3 linked regions of the Saccharomyces cerevisiae S288C genome follow. Changing the gene in region 1 together with any one later gene gives a genetic interaction. Each region holds a gene or a part of one and is shown in the gene's direction. Other genes may lie near its edges.

What was found. Genes that interact genetically often act in the same process or in processes that back each other up.
Region 2: mutations in IOC4 (region 1) and PAU8 together harm fitness more than expected from each alone (negative genetic interaction), as found in Saccharomyces cerevisiae (2 studies listed by BioGRID).
Region 3: mutations in IOC4 (region 1) and SOK1 together harm fitness more than expected from each alone (negative genetic interaction), as found in Saccharomyces cerevisiae (2 studies listed by BioGRID).

Annotation. Positions count from the first base shown.
Region 1 is NC_001145.3:353,644-359,219, forward strand, and holds IOC4 (Ioc4p), read left to right. Parts: upstream 1-1,740; coding exon 1,741-3,168; downstream 3,169-5,576. Other genes in the region: transcription factor MCM1, read left to right, coding at 228-1,088. UniProt on the Saccharomyces cerevisiae protein: Functions as a component of the ISW1B complex, which acts in remodeling the chromatin by catalyzing an ATP-dependent alteration in the structure of nucleosomal DNA.
Region 2 is NC_001133.9:657-5,382, reverse strand, and holds PAU8 (seripauperin PAU8), read left to right. Parts: upstream 1-3,213; coding exon 3,214-3,576; downstream 3,577-4,726. Other genes in the region: YAL067W-A (uncharacterized protein), read right to left, coding at 2,676-2,903.
Region 3 is NC_001136.10:457,392-464,153, reverse strand, and holds SOK1 (Sok1p), read left to right. Parts: upstream 1-2,906; coding exon 2,907-5,612; downstream 5,613-6,762. Other genes in the region: transcriptional regulator GAL3, read right to left, coding at 1-720; phosphoribosylanthranilate isomerase TRP1, read right to left, coding at 1,638-2,312; RNA polymerase III-inhibiting protein MAF1, read left to right, coding at 6,051-6,056, 6,137-6,762. UniProt on the Saccharomyces cerevisiae protein: High copy suppressor of a cyclic AMP-dependent protein kinase mutant.

The DNA of each region.
Region 1 (5,576 bases):
GTTTGTTAATTCATTATACTGATAATATTTTTGAATTTTTTTTTTTTTTGATACATTTTTTTTAATCGCTGTTTTGTCTGTTTTTTTCGATTCAGTTATAGGGAAAAAAACGGGAAAGGAAAGAGAAAAAAAAATTAGTGCAGAGCAATAAGAAGCGAAAATCAAAAAAAAGTTTTGGATCTGCAAGACTTGCTGTCACGCAACAATATTATAGCCACCCAGCAAAAATGTCAGACATCGAAGAAGGTACGCCTACTAATAATGGGCAACAGAAGGAGAGAAGAAAGATAGAAATTAAGTTCATCGAGAATAAAACAAGGCGCCATGTGACATTTTCCAAAAGGAAGCACGGTATCATGAAAAAGGCGTTTGAGCTTTCTGTTCTAACGGGGACCCAGGTCCTGTTGCTAGTCGTTTCAGAAACAGGTTTGGTATATACTTTCAGCACGCCGAAGTTTGAACCTATAGTCACGCAGCAGGAAGGTAGAAACCTGATCCAGGCCTGTCTTAACGCCCCTGATGATGAGGAAGAAGACGAGGAGGAAGACGGTGATGATGATGATGATGATGACGATGATGGTAATGATATGCAACGCCAGCAACCACAACAACAGCAACCGCAACAACAGCAACAAGTATTGAATGCACACGCAAATAGCTTAGGCCATCTAAATCAAGATCAGGTACCGGCAGGCGCGCTGAAACAAGAGGTGAAGTCACAATTGCTAGGCGGTGCCAATCCTAATCAAAACTCAATGATTCAACAGCAGCAACATCACACGCAGAATTCACAACCACAACAGCAACAGCAACAACAACCACAGCAGCAAATGTCACAGCAACAAATGTCACAGCATCCTCGACCACAGCAAGGAATACCACATCCGCAACAATCGCAGCCACAGCAACAGCAACAACAACAACAACAACTGCAACAGCAGCAACAGCAGCAACAACAACAACCCCTCACCGGCATTCATCAGCCTCACCAACAGGCTTTTGCCAACGCTGCCTCCCCCTATCTGAATGCTGAACAGAATGCTGCCTACCAACAATACTTTCAAGAACCGCAACAAGGCCAATACTAATCTTATCGATTTCCGTATATAATTCATAGACGAGCATTAAGAGGAAAAAGCTGTTTCCGTACCAATTAAAGAAAGATAGACAACAAGAACAAAAACGTACATTACTCTATATTGAAAAAAGCCCTATGTCGGTAAAAGAATAGGAAGTACCTTAGTCATCGGCACTTACCTTTTTTTTTACGATTACTTCTGGTTTGTTTCTTTGCCTCATTTCATTTTGCTGCCACTTTCTTTCATAGGCAAGAAGATTCAATCAAATCTCCCCTTCTCCTTCCCCGGATATATAAAATATAAATATAAAACTTTAAGAATATAAAAATATGAGAAACCACACATAACTTGTATACTTTACTCACATACACACATTTCCAAAAAAATTATAATGTTAATTACATTGCTTTTAATGCTAATCTTTTTTTAGTTGTATAATCATTACCATATAAATGCCTCTCGGTCTAATTTCATTGCCAGTATTGTAAGTTATATACTTTTATACGAGTGTACGGAAAATATCGTGGCTCCCCGTTAACAGTGAAATAAATCTACGCATGTAGCTGCCAGTTTTTTAAGCGTTATATCAATATTGGTAAAGTAAGAATTGACGAAGAAATTGTTAACTACATTTTTCAGAACGGCGTGTCATTCTCCGATAATGTCTGAAGCGATATTCCAGCCAACGGACATTGTCCTTGCCAAAGTTAAAGGCTTTTCAGCATGGCCAGCAATGATTATCCCTAATGAACTCATCCCAGATAACATCCTCAAGACCAAACCTGTGAGTGTCCACAAAGGCAAATCAGGTAGTGATAAAAAAGCAAATGAAGATATAGATGCAGACATGGAATCAGAGGCTAGAGATCGAGAGCAAAGCGAAGAAGAAGAAGATATAGAGGATTTTGGTGAGAGTGAGGCTAATCCTGAAAAATTTATAATATACACTCCCGTTCTGAAGTTTCGTAAAAATGATACGTTGAAATCGACTTACTGCGTCAAGTTTTTTTGCGATGATTCTTATATCTGGGTGAAGCCCATGGATATGAAGATTCTAACAAGCGAAGATTGTCGTAAGTGGCTAAGCGGCAAACAGCGGAAGAATAAGAAACTCATACCGGCATATGAAATGGCTATGAGAGGCAAAAATGGAATTGATATTTGGGAATTTGTGGAATATGGGTCTTACGGCAAGCCAGATGAAGAGGAATATGTAGAGGAAGAGGAAGAAGAGAACGAACCTGAAAAAAAGGCTATAAGGCCAACCAGGTCTTCCAGTAGACAGCGTCAGAAGCGCGCCTCAGAAACGGAAAAGAGTGAGGGCGGTAATAGCAATAAAAGGAAAAGAGTTACTAGATCGACTAGGCAACAAGCGATAGATGCTTCAGAAGAGGAAGAGGAGGAAGAGGAGGAAAAAGTACAAGAGGCTGTTAGAAAGAGGCCGCAAAGGACCAAAACTAAGAAAGTTGTAGTATCCAAGACTAAACCAAATCCAAAAACAAAGGCAAAGAAAGAGAAACCTAAACCACCTAAGCCAATCAAATATCATTTTGAAGATGATGAAGATTGGAGCATTGTTGGGTTGGGCCCACAAGATCTATCAATCGAAAAAACGATGGATCCGATTGCGAAAAAACTGTCGCAGAAGAAAAATCTAGAAAAGCATGTGGAGATTAAGCTAGATCTGGAGGATAAACTAGCAGGTATCAACAAGCTCCTGTGTGATGTCTTATGTTCAGCCATTAACCAGGCTGTTTCGATAAAGGATGATTTCGAAATAATATTAGATGAATTGCAGATTGCCCTTGACACCAGGGGGTCCAGAAACGAATTTATAACAATTTTCCAATCAAATAATTCCCTACTGTTAAACTTTAGGATATTATTTAACTTAAGAAAAAGGGAACTGAACAAATGGGATCTGTGGGATCGTTTCCAGGATATTTTCAAGCATATTTATTCCTACCAGTTCATACCTGATACGGAAGATTGGCAACTAGAGCAAAATATGGAAATTGAAGAAATGGATCGGGAAAAGCCGAGCTTTAGTGAAGACGTAAAGGAAGAAGAAAGCAAAGTAGGAGCATGACCTGTTGCTATTGCAGTTGATGTACTCTGCTTTTGAACAATAGAGGGGAAACCTGTGTACTATAAAATAGACTAAAACTATGTAACTTGTGTATGTTCTGATATGTATGACGCAGTCTTTGATAGTCCAAAACTCACCTAGACTGTGCTGTATTATTACAATTAAAGTTCTAAGTCTGTTGTGCATTATCATTTGAGAAATGGGGGAATGTTGAGATAATTGTTGGGATTCCATTGTTGATAAAGGCTATAATATTAGGTATACAGAATATACTAGAAGTTCTCCTCAAGGATATAGGAATCCTCAAAATGGAATCTATATTTCTACATACTAATATTACGATTATTCCTCATTCCGTTTTATATGTTTCATTATCCTATTACATTATCAATCCTTGCACTTCAGCTTCCTCTAACTTCGATGACAGCTTCTCATAACTTATGTCATCATCTTAACACCGTATATGATAATATATTGATAATATAACTATTAGTTGATAGACGATAGTGGATTTTTATTCCAACATACCACCCATAATGTAATAGATCTAATGAATCCATTTGTTTGTTAATAGTTTGAATGTTTTTATCGGAAGAGGTTTGGTCATTACGTCTGCAATATTCTTTTTGGTTTCGATATAGCATACGTGCAGATGATTTCCTGATACTTCATCTCTCAGTCTCATTGCTTTAGTACCAAAAAATCTGTTTCTAAATTTCTCTTCATTATTGGATATAATTATACTGATTGTAGATTTACTGTCGGTTAGTAATCCTTTGGTAATTGGTTTCTTGTCGAGTTCTTGTATCAGGTAACTTAGATTATTTAATAATGGGACAGATTCACTTATTGCGTGTATTTCTGCTTCCGTAGTTGAAGTACATGTTAATGAAGCCTTGGTGGACTTTCCTCCAATTACTTTTCCATTAAGTAAATATATGTTGCCAATTTGTGATTTATAATACGGTTGGTTACCATACGATGCATCGCTTATAACAACTAATTTATTTGTTGGCTTAACAGGTTTGCTTTTGTGCCATATTAATTGCTTATCTCTCGTATTCCATATGAACTGTATCAATTCATATGTCATATCTAACACTTGCTTGGACGGAAATAGTATATGTTGTGCAAGTGTGTTGATGTAGTATAATAGGTCAAATCTAAATTTATATCCAACATATGATGCTAGACCTATCAGCTTTTGCATTTCATGTACCTTCATTTTGTAATCATCTTCTTCTAGCTCTAGTTCTTGCTGGTCTATATATAGACCTGGTTGACCTGGAGCGCTAAGTTTCCTTCCTTTTGGGTTCAAAGGTACGTTTAGTTTGGGTATTTTTTCAGTTAATGAGTTTTCCATACCCAATTTCATGTATTTACCTCTTTGGTATTTGATTTCCAAGCCAAGAATGTCATATTGAATTTCCTCATCACTTTCGCCTAGATTTATAATCTTGGTGTCGTATTGCATCTTAAGCTTGTCTATAATTCTTTTGTTTGAATTTAGATTTTTGCTAAACAGTACCATATCATCTACGAATAAACAAATTGTCACTTGACTGTTTTCAAATACGCATGACCATCCACGAACTTCTTCCATACCACACTGTTTTATCAGGTATGATTTGATAGTTTCGTACCAGTTCGCTCCACTTTGTTTCAATCCATAAAGTGATTTCTTCAAACGTATCAACTTATCATTCATTCCTAAATGTGGTGGAGGTCTTATGTATAATTCTTCTTTGATGTCTGCATACAAATATGCCGAAGATATGTCTAATTGTGTAATATAGTAGTTATTGTCTAATGCAAGTGACAGGGATGTCATTAATGCATAGTGATGTACGGTATTGGATTGCATGCCTGAGTCGTAAGTGTCAGGATGCTGAATATCACCTCTTGCAACAAATCTAGCTTTATGAGTACCGTCACGTTTCCTGTTGAAGATAAACATTGAATTTATTACTCTTTTAGGGTCTATTTCTTTTCTGTCATAATATTTGTCAGTGTCCCAAGTTTTCATCTTCAACAGTTGATTGACTTCTTTGTGGTATGCCTCGATATATTTTTCTTTTTCTTTAATATCTTTATTATAGGTGATTGCCTCATCGTATCGTAAGGTTGTTCGTATTGGTTTGATTGATTTTACTGCTTTTACAGCTGCAATCAGGTGGATTCGTTTCTTCGATCTCGGAGGTTCTAAACTACGCATATTCTTAGTATTCCATGTGTCTCGTGATACCTTAATTTCAGTTTCATTATCTTCTAATGATCTTTTCTTACTGTTGATAGTAGTATAGGCATTAGAGTCACCAATACCACCCAAACTGGAATTAGTTTGACGAGAATTGATCGGTGGAAGTTCTTTAAAGGAGTCTGATAATTCGGTAGGAGGTTCTGGAGGC
Region 2 (4,726 bases), on another chromosome or scaffold:
ATAGGTATCGTATGGGCAGAATATTTGGAGGAGTTAAGAAGATTTCTTAATGGAACTGATTAGAGGCAATTTGTCTTCAACATAACCAACGCATCAAAGGTCATCAAATGTTAGGTTAAGAACATAAATTATTGATTTATCACCAGCAGTTGAAAACTATTTAAGTTCTCATTAGTGACCACAACAAGCTACCTCTAGACCAACAGAAAACGGTGAAGGAGGGCATGAAATTGAAATTAAGATGGCTTTATTCAAAGCATTTGATGTATAAACATCTTTCATATACAAATCTTCAATACAGAAAAAAAAAAAAATGCAAAATGTATATTTAATATCTATTCCATCCTGTCAGTAGAACAAGGGTTTTTTATAAAAGATAAATTGAAGACGGTCGTGGCTCTTGAATAACATGTCTTTATGATGTGCATTTTCTGGCTGGGAATGTTGATGCACTTTTTATCAACGATTTTGTCTCCTTTGTGATAGATACTAAGAAAGCACAAGATAATCAACCCAGTAAGCGACAGAAGGGTCGACCTATAAAAATTAGCTCATCATTTCTCGGTAAGGTCGGGTTCACAAATTTTAAATCTCGTAAAATTTTGCAATGACTGAAGCACTCAATACAATTTAAAAGGATAAAGCAGTGGCAAAGATTGTTTATCAGAGATGTACGATCTGGTTATCCAGATATTTGAGATACTACCACCATAATATTAACTTTGTCGATTAACAATTTTTTTTGGAAACTCTGCCTTTTTTTTTACTACATCAAATCATGCTATCAAGCGTTTGAGAAAACTTAAGTTACTCCATGTAATGAGCAGGTCTAATGTAACAGTAAAACGAATAATGAATCAAATATTTGTATGAAAATTAATACACCCTCAAAGAAAGATTAAACCTGAAAGCCTAAAAAGTTTAATATTGAGATTGATAACTTTGTCATCAAAAAGCATCTGCAACTAACAAGTAACTATTCGGCAAGTACTAAACAGAGAAAATTCAATTTATCACAAGCTATCCACTTAAATTATGAGTTGCTTGTCATGTAGTGGCTTGTAAGAGCTATTGCATTGTTCTTCGTGCCATAACCGCAAGCGATTGACGATTCGTAGACCATTGAATACAGTGAATTTTTTAGGGCCTGTATTTGTCGTTATAACAACTGCTATTAAATTTTTCCCTAATGAGGTAAGTAGAAATTGACTTATTCTTACTTGCTTCCAAAAAAAGTACTCTCTAGTTATAGAGAGTAACAAGCATGTGAACTTGTTGTTCTTTTTCGATAATAAGGTTGTCGACGGTTGCCTCATCACAAAATAGACACATTTGATGTTGAACTACATAAATATTCAAACTTCAGGCCTTGAAACATCATAAAGTAGCTTTCCGGATCACTAGCTCATTATCAAAATGGAAAGATACTGAAATTGAAGACAAGAAAAGCATAGGTTTATTGTCCCTTGGTTATCTGGACCTTAATGGCTTTTACCTCAGAATATTTTCAAAAATAGCTTAACCTGGAAGTTTTATGAGTCTTTCAAGTTCTTAGCGTTTCGTACCTGGGTAATATTATGGTTACTACCAAGCCTTTACTGGATAATGTCCAGCAAGTGGGTTTACTCATTTATGATTTCTCTTTTTGTCCTCTTTTTCGAGCCAATATTTTTACCTGTCATTCATGTATTTTTCTCATAAGCTTTCGAAACAACTCCCTGTATTTACAAAGAAATTACTAAAAAAACATCAGATACGGGCACCAATGATCGGAAAGTTGTTTCAACAAACCTAATTTTGTACTTGTATACAAATATAGTCTGGGATAGTAGGTACTTTATCAATGCAACAGATTGTCAATAAGCGTCCAAAACAATTCTTCTTCAACCATTCTCTTTGAAAAAAGACGAAACTGCTAAGTTTAAGTCATTTCAGGATTTTGCCCCTTGCATAAAAGAGGCATTTGAAGTTTCTTTGAAAAAAGATGTATGATGCTGGGGAGGTATGGAAACCCGTTGACATGGGAGATTCTAAATTTTTTAAGGAAGCTCTTCAATGAAGGTTTACTTTGGTTCTCAAGAGAATTTTCACTGTTTACTGTTTCCCTCCATGCTTTCCTTTTTGATCTAAAGCTACTGTCATGCAATTATCAACCCCTATTTCGTATCTTATATCTTGAAAGCTTCTTTATGAAGAAAATAATAATTTTTTAACATCCAAGAATTTTATCTACGAGAATGGGACACAAATACAATTCTTATCAATCATTATAAATGAGCAAGAAAAATTTGGCAGTCTAGGAATGAAATCGGAAGGGAAATGAACGGCTACTTTTTCGGGAAGATTGTTTGGAAAACGAAGAGTTGTTCTTTGATGAATGCGATTTCCAAGCGTTCTTTGTGCGGAACTTTAATAACCTTTTAAGAATCCAAGGATTAAGAAAAATCCCACTTAGAAAGAAGAGTAGCCGAACGTTCTTACTCTCATATCCCTACTTAGGTTCAGTTAGCCGTACATATCAAACTACAATAATACTGCCCTGCTAAATTAGCGGTACCCTCTTTTAAATATGTATCTGTTTGATATCAACTTGTCTCATTACCATCCGCTTCTCAGCGGCTAAAATTACGTAATTGCACCAAGGCATTTGCCGAGAGTTCACAAGTTTACAGACCCTAACAGTATACGACTCCCAACACACGTTTAATGTTGTACGAATTCAAGAGATGGAAATATTTCCTCCGCGGAAGCCGTTTAAAGCAGACTGAATTCAGGCTTAGACAATAAGCTTCTGTACGAGGGTCCAAATCTAAAATTCGGATATTCTTTTTGACCGAAAAAGGAAATGTCACAGGCACAGAAAAGGGTTTTATAAGGCACCTCGGCACCCCTATAATTGGCATTCCCACATTCTGCGCATACGAATACACATAAGCGCCATAAAACAGTACTCCACATACGAAACCTATGAAAGATTTATGATTCGTTCAGAAACAAGAGCATCTCCATAGAGATAATGAGATTGTGTGAAAGATGAGATATAGAGAATATTTGATGAGGAACTGGTGCCAGTCAGCGATCGTTTAAATAGCAACAACCCATGAGGGAATGGGTATAAATAGAGCTGCTTCAACTATATGCCTTTGAGAATATGTCTTTATTCTTTCCTTTCCTGTTAAGCTTATATCAGCACTAACAAACAAAACAAATACAATGGTCAAATTAACTTCAATCGCCGCTGGTGTCGCTGCCATCGCTGCTACTGCTTCTGCAACCACCACTCTAGCTCAATCTGACGAAAGAGTCAACTTGGTGGAATTGGGTGTCTACGTCTCTGATATCAGAGCTCACTTAGCCCAATACTACATGTTCCAAGCCGCCCACCCAACTGAAACCTACCCAGTCGAAGTTGCTGAAGCCGTTTTCAACTACGGTGACTTCACCACCATGTTGACCGGTATTGCTCCAGACCAAGTGACCAGAATGATCACCGGTGTTCCATGGTACTCCAGCAGATTAAAGCCAGCCATCTCCAGTGCTCTATCCAAGGACGGTATCTACACTATCGCAAACTAGAGACAAACGCCAATTTTACGAACGGGTTTCCATAGAAATTGAAAATTAACGAACAAAATAAAATAAAAAAACTACTTTTTTTTGATGATATAAATACCGTAGATTATATAAATGTATATTAATATTATAGACCTATTTGATCAATGACGGTGTTCGTGAAGCATTTTATGAATACGATGAACATAAGAAAGAAACTTCTACACTATTGTAGAAAAAACGTGGACGGTAATAAAGCTAACAGTGTATGTCCAATAAACAACAATGAAATTGGAAATGTGCGGCTTCGCAACCTTTGTCCTTAAATAAAAATGAGTCGCTGCTTCGTTTTTCATTTTTTGGCGCGTCGCGTCGGGCCGTATAGAATATGCGTCACTTCTAAGAACAAGATTGCAGATCAGGGCAGTGCGAGTTACAAGTCATGGTACCAAACTCTCATTTAGAGACCCTCATTTTTTGACACGTAAAATATCAAGATTTCTGGGTTGGCATAGTTTTTTGTGTAACTGTAACTAGAAATAAAGCTGAGGGGTTAGTGTTCTATCAGCAATAAGATAGAGGGTGGTAAGATGAAGTGAGACAATATCGTAACGTCCGTTTTAGTATACGCCGCTGATAAGTTATATTACCGTAAAATTATTTGACATTTCGTTATAGATCCTATTAAATAACGTACCTATCACAGTATCGTCTTGACTAGATATAGTCCCTTCGTATGAGTAGTGTCACATACAAGATTAAAGATGCATCAGTTATGCTTTTAGGATATTGCGGTTAGCATATGGGAATGGAAATAAGATATAATTGTATCATAGCACCCGCATGAGTTTGAGCCACTACCGTATTATTGCTCGGTGAATAAAGAGTGTTACGACAGTGATGTGACATATTATTCTAATGTATGGCCTGTGTAAGTACGAAATATTCTGAAATAGCATCCGTTCAAGCAAATTGCAATATTGAGGAACTTTTACGTTAGTGATACCATGATAGTGTTGCTACCACAAGCCAATATGTTTATGTATTATTGTTGAAAAGTAGAATATTTTTATGTTTAGGTGATTTTTGTGGGGATTTTTCTGTAATATTGACATAAGTGTATATAAATGGAGTGGTAAGTATATGGTGCAAAAGTGGTATAACGTATGTATTA
Region 3 (6,762 bases), on another chromosome or scaffold:
CAATTGAGGAAACTTGAAAGGTGTGGCCTTTAGTTTTGGCCTAAACTCTACGTATAGAGCATGATCTTCTTCCCCATAAACAGACGTTGCTTGATCCATACCACCATTATTGACTCCAACATAGTGCTCAGCAACCGCTGTGATGCGGGTCAAGTCTTTTTTGGAAATATCAAAATTTTTTCCCATATTGGCTCTAATTGTGGCTAGTGCTGCCGCGCAAGTAAATGCAGATGAGAGTCCACCACCAGTAGGAATATCGCTCTGGCAAAAGATCTGCGCACCTACTAAGGGTGTATTATTAAATCTTTCCGGAGCAATTTTTTTCAAGTATGAATGTGCCACATGTAGTCCGCATTTAAAGTAATTCGACCATTCCGACACAGACGGATCTATGGCCATGTAGGAACCATCTAAAGGCAGATCAAACTTTCGCTGAGCAAATTTAGGGTCCGCATTTGTTAAGGTAATGGATGGATTTTTTTCGTCTAAAATTTTAACTGCGCAAAGCATATCCACATCAATGGCTAATGGCAAAACTGAAAAATCGCAATAATCTATATGCTCACCAATCAGATTTACTCTGCCAGGAGACCTAGCGATAAAATCAGGTTTGACATGGTATGTTTGGAAAAATGCATCTACAACCGCTAAATGTTTTTGTTCGAAAGACCTTGGTAAATCTCTGACCGGAGAACTGAATATTGGAACGTTTGTATTCATACTATGTGTTGCCCTACCTTTTTACTTTTATTTTCTCTTTTTGCACTCCTGATTCCGCTAATAGGAAGTATGAATACCTGGGGTTGTCAATGTGGTAACAAAGGTGTTGCCTCACTTGTCGCTTATGATGATTATATACGTTTCAGTAAAAATTTTACTGCCTATGTGTTGCAGGCGGTCAATCAATTGCATAAAAGACCGTGTGATGGCTTGGCATGGCGATTTCATTCTTTCAAGAATTCCACATGTTAAAATAGTGAAGGAGCATGTTCGGCACACAGTGGACCGAACGTGGGGTAAGTGCACTAGGGTCCGGTTAAACGGATCTCGCATTGATGAGGCAACGCTAATTATCAACATATAGATTGTTATCTATCTGCATGAACACGAAATCTTTACTTGACGACTTGAGGCTGATGGTGTTTATGCAAAGAAACCACTGTGTTTAATATGTGTCACTGTTTGATATTACTGTCAGCGTAGAAGATAATAGTAAAAGCGGTTAATAAGTGTATTTGAGATAAGTGTGATAAAGTTTTTACAGCGAAAAGACGATAAATACAAGAAAATGATTACGAGGATACGGAGAGAGGTATGTACATGTGTATTTATATACTAAGCTGCCGGCGGTTGTTTGCAAGACCGAGAAAAGGCTAGCAAGAATCGGGTCATTGTAGCGTATGCGCCTGTGAACATTCTCTTCAACAAGTTTGATTCCATTGCGGTGAAATGGTAAAAGTCAACCCCCTGCGATGTATATTTTCCTGTACAATCAATCAAAAAGCCAAATGATTTAGCATTATCTTTACATCTTGTTATTTTACAGATTTTATGTTTAGATCTTTTATGCTTGCTTTTCAAAAGGCCTGCAGGCAAGTGCACAAACAATACTTAAATAAATACTACTCAGTAATAACCTATTTCTTAGCATTTTTGACGAAATTTGCTATTTTGTTAGAGTCTTTTACACCATTTGTCTCCACACCTCCGCTTACATCAACACCAATAACGCCATTTAATCTAAGCGCATCACCAACATTTTCTGGCGTCAGTCCACCAGCTAACATAAAATGTAAGCTTTCGGGGCTCTCTTGCCTTCCAACCCAGTCAGAAATCGAGTTCCAATCCAAAAGTTCACCTGTCCCACCTGCTTCTGAATCAAACAAGGGAATAAACGAATGAGGTTTCTGTGAAGCTGCACTGAGTAGTATGTTGCAGTCTTTTGGAAATACGAGTCTTTTAATAACTGGCAAACCGAGGAACTCTTGGTATTCTTGCCACGACTCATCTCCATGCAGTTGGACGATATCAATGCCGTAATCATTGACCAGAGCCAAAACATCCTCCTTAGGTTGATTACGAAACACGCCAACCAAGTATTTCGGAGTGCCTGAACTATTTTTATATGCTTTTACAAGACTTGAAATTTTCCTTGCAATAACCGGGTCAATTGTTCTCTTTCTATTGGGCACACATATAATACCCAGCAAGTCAGCATCGGAATCTAGAGCACATTCTGCGGCCTCTGTGCTCTGCAAGCCGCAAACTTTCACCAATGGACCAGAACTACCTGTGAAATTAATAACAGACATACTCCAAGCTGCCTTTGTGTGCTTAATCACGTATACTCACGTGCTCAATAGTCACCAATGCCCTCCCTCTTGGCCCTCTCCTTTTCTTTTTTCGACCGAATTCTTAATCGGCAAAAAAAGAAAAGCTCCGGATCAAGATTGTACGTAAGGTGACAAGCTATTTTTCAATAAAGAATATCTTCCACTACTGCCATCTGGCGTCATAACTGCAAAGTACACATATATTACGATGCTGTTCTATTAAATGCTTCCTATATTATATATATAGTAATGTCGTTAACCGTTGATTTTTACTGATTGGTCTCTGCCGTGCGGGTGAGCGGCGCGTCCAGACGGGCGGGTGCACGTTTCTTTTTCTGACCATTTCCCTGTCAGCTCTTTTAGATCGGGGCTGCCGTTTGAAAAGTTTTATCATCGCCAGACATGCCATAAGGAATATCTCCACCGCCTCTAACTGTCCCTAACTCGGTCTCTTTCTTATAACTACCATTACTCAGTGTTGAGAGATTGGTAGAAATATACGCGTATACGTTCATTCAAGACTTATTTTCAGCCAGTAATATTCCCTACTCCTCTTCCGTTTTCAGAATAGAGATGGACCAGCCAAGGACCCATTCAGGACCCACGACGGCCAGCAATCCTGCCCCCAGCTCCACCAACTCGTCATCTGCTCCCAGCGCGACTAATTCAAAGCAGGAAAGATCCTCTTCGTCACTGTCCAAACCTTCGTCAGTGGTTCCTTCAAAGGATTCACCAGATGGTGACGCTATTGCTAAGACTCAAGCAGCCGCTTTAAAAAACGACATGAAATCTGGTGATACCAGTACATTAGATGGGTCATCTCAAAATATAATTCCAAACAGAGCCTCAATGCAAAAATATATTGACCAGTCATCAGATCTGCTGTCGAGGAGCTCCGGCGTAATAACGCCCTCCATGTCTTTGAATGCAAGCACTAACGCCACTAACAACGATAGCAGTGGCAATTCAGCTAATAGTAGTGATTTGAAGATCCCTATAGACAGGGACAATACTATATTCAAGACGTTCGACACCAAGACTGGTCAATTCTTGAAAAACGATGATAATGAAGAAGAAATAAGGAGGAACAATAAAGTTGATTCGATACCCCCAAAGAATATTTATACTAATATCAACAATCCATCTCCCTCCCCACCACCGTCGTCAAAGCAACCACCGTCTGCATCCGCGCCGCAATTGCCACCAGCAACGGAACCACACAAAGAACAAGCAGCACAACAACAGCCACCAGGAAATGCTTCTAACTTTTTAAGGATCTTTTCAAATAAAAAAATGAGGTCGCATTCCGTACCCACTATTTTGCATTCTTCTTTAAGAAAATTATCATCCCACAATCAATACTATCGTAATCAAAATATTCTTTTAAATCATCCAACTCCTTCCGGCATATCAAAGAAAAAATTTTCTAGAAACCATCATCAACCATATTTGCATTCTAATAATCCTCTCAGTTCAAACCCTCTTTCATTAAAGCGCGCAATTTTTTTAAATCAACAAATATCAGGTAACGCAAGCACTAACGCTAATAATGACAACATTAATAATTCCACTGCCACTTCAATGACAAATCAAAGCTTCCTATCAAGCTCAAACTTTGACTTAACTTTGGAAGATAGAATAAACTACATAAAGGCTACTCCAACGCCTGTTCCATTTCCTCCTATAAATTTGCAGGGCTTAAAAGAGATTGACTTACAGGAAATTCTGAAAAACCCACAACTAAGACATGATATAATATTCGACCCGCTACTACAATTCAGGCCAAATCTTGATGGCGAAAGAGGGAATAAAAAAAGACAATTGGCGAATATCTATTGGAATGATGTTCAAAATGAAATTTATGTTTACTCTAAGAGGCCTGAAATATTCCAATATAACAGGTCAAGACTAGTCCCACTTTTTGACACTTTAAGGGATGTATTGTTAACGATAGTCCCACAAAAAGAGTCTCCGATGATAAATAATGTACTGGACACAGAATTGAACATTCAAGAACTATTGAAAGGTTCTCTGATAATGTCTAACTTGTCAGGCTGGTTGGCTGATTTATTTAAACATCATTGTGCCCCCATGAGGGACCCATGGGTGGATAAAATGAGCAACAAATTTAAAGAAGCTGAAAGAGACTCTTCTTTAACAAGGTTAATAGAAGGTTTAAGGTTGGTTTTTCAAATTTTGGAAACAATGAAATTGGATATTGCCAATCATCAAATAAGAATACTAAGGCCAGCTCTGTTAAGTAATGCTGTAGAATTTGAGAAACAGTATTTCAACACTCTTATAGCCTCTAAAAGGGTGAATTTAAATACTTCCCTACTTTGGTTTGATAAAAAATTCAACGAAAATGTTACCGCTGGCCTTGTTAGAAATCCAAGTTCTATCACTATCCCTGATGTCTACAATATTTGCATTAGAAGTATAATTAACCTATTGTCATGTAGGAAGATGGTGAGAGAGTACCCAACTCCGCTTTCTTTTGATCATGCAAGATTGATCCTTTTGCGTGCCGATATACGTCAAATTGTTTGTATTTTAGTTTGCCGTTTACTTTTCCAACAATTGGTGGCCAACGATCCTTCAATGGATAAAGCTACAAAGGAATATGTTATTCATACATACTCAACTAAAAGGCTGAAGAATGAAATTATCAGCATTATAACAGATGAACACGGCAATTGTAGGTGGACTAAAAACACAATGTCTATTGCTGTTCATCTTTGCAAAGTTATTGACGATCTTCACAGGGAGTACGACAACAATGGTAGTTGTGAACAAGCCAGAAGGCCTCAATTGCCTTCATTAGACAACTCAAAAATAACCTTTGCTAAATCTTGGTTATCTAAGCAAACTCAACCCCTCAGTGAAGTTTATGGTGTCCTAGAAAATAGAGTATTCAAATCACTAGAGGACGCTATCTTCAACAGGTCCGAGTGCACAATTGATGGACGCGTTAAACAAGACTTTGTGTACCTCTACAACACAAACAATGGCAACGTAGGTAGCACTAACACTTTGAGTACTACTACAGATACTGCTAGCGTTAAAATCAGCCCGTCTTTGATGTCTCCTTCTAAAACCTCCACCACCACACCTACTGGCAATGCGATTGCATCCAGAGGTTTATTCGCAGCAACAGAGCTGGAGGAATTCGAGAATGTTTATCGCCACTTATATGCATTAATCAACCTTCATTGGTCCGTATTCGGTCCTCATTATATCGAAATGTTAGGAGATAAAGTTAATAAAAAAGGAATATAACTATTATCGGTAATGGAGGAAAAAAAAATTTTTTTACCATTTCTTTATGTAACTTCATATATCATTTTTAAAGCGTACATTTCTTATAATTTCACTTCTTAAATGCAGTCACATATTTACTGCTATCAGACAAAGTAAAGCGTCGCTAATTACTTGCCTCCACGAGTTGCTTGTCAATCAGGGGCGCTTCATCTCGCCAGCGAAAGCGCGTTGTCCATCTTATTTAACAAGAGAAAAAAAAGATAATTCAACTTAAAAAGAACGTGCTATCAGCTATATAAAATGTAGACACATTATGTATCAGTGTTTCTTTAGCAATGCGAAAAATATAGGCTTAGTGTCATTTACTTAAAGTTTAGAAACTCTGCACACTTCACCAAGAACAAGTTTAACCGCTCATTACTCCAAACGGATTTTTTTGCCTAAAGAATCACGACAATGAAAGTATGTTATCACTCTAAAACTGCCATGCTCTTTATTCGAAATTACTAACATTGTACCTGAACCCTCCTTTTCTTCCTTAGTTTATTGATGAGCTAGATATAGAGAGAGTGAATCAAACTCTCAATTTCGAGACAAATGACTGTAAAATCGTGGGCAGTTGCGATATTTTCACAACAAAGGCGGTTGCATCAGATAGAAAATTATATAAAACTATTGATCAGCATTTGGATACTATTTTACAGGAAAATGAGAATTACAATGCTACCCTTCAGCAACAGCTAGCTGCTCCCGAAACAAACCAATCACCCTGCTCGTCGCCATTTTATTCTAATAGGAGGGATAGCAACTCTTTTTGGGAGCAAAAGAGAAGAATATCTTTTAGTGAATACAATAGCAATAATAACACTAACAACAGTAATGGCAATAGCAGTAATAACAATAACTATTCTGGACCTAATGGTTCTTCTCCAGCAACTTTTCCCAAAAGTGCCAAGCTAAATGACCAAAATTTAAAAGAATTAGTCTCGAATTACGATTCTGGCTCTATGAGCTCATCGTCTCTTGATTCTTCTTCTAAGAATGATGAGAGGATAAGAAGAAGGAGCAGTAGCAGTATTAGCAGTTTCAAAAGTGGTAAATCATCGAACAATAATTACAGTTCTGGTACAGCAACCAACAATGTTAACAAAAGAAGAAAATCTTCGAT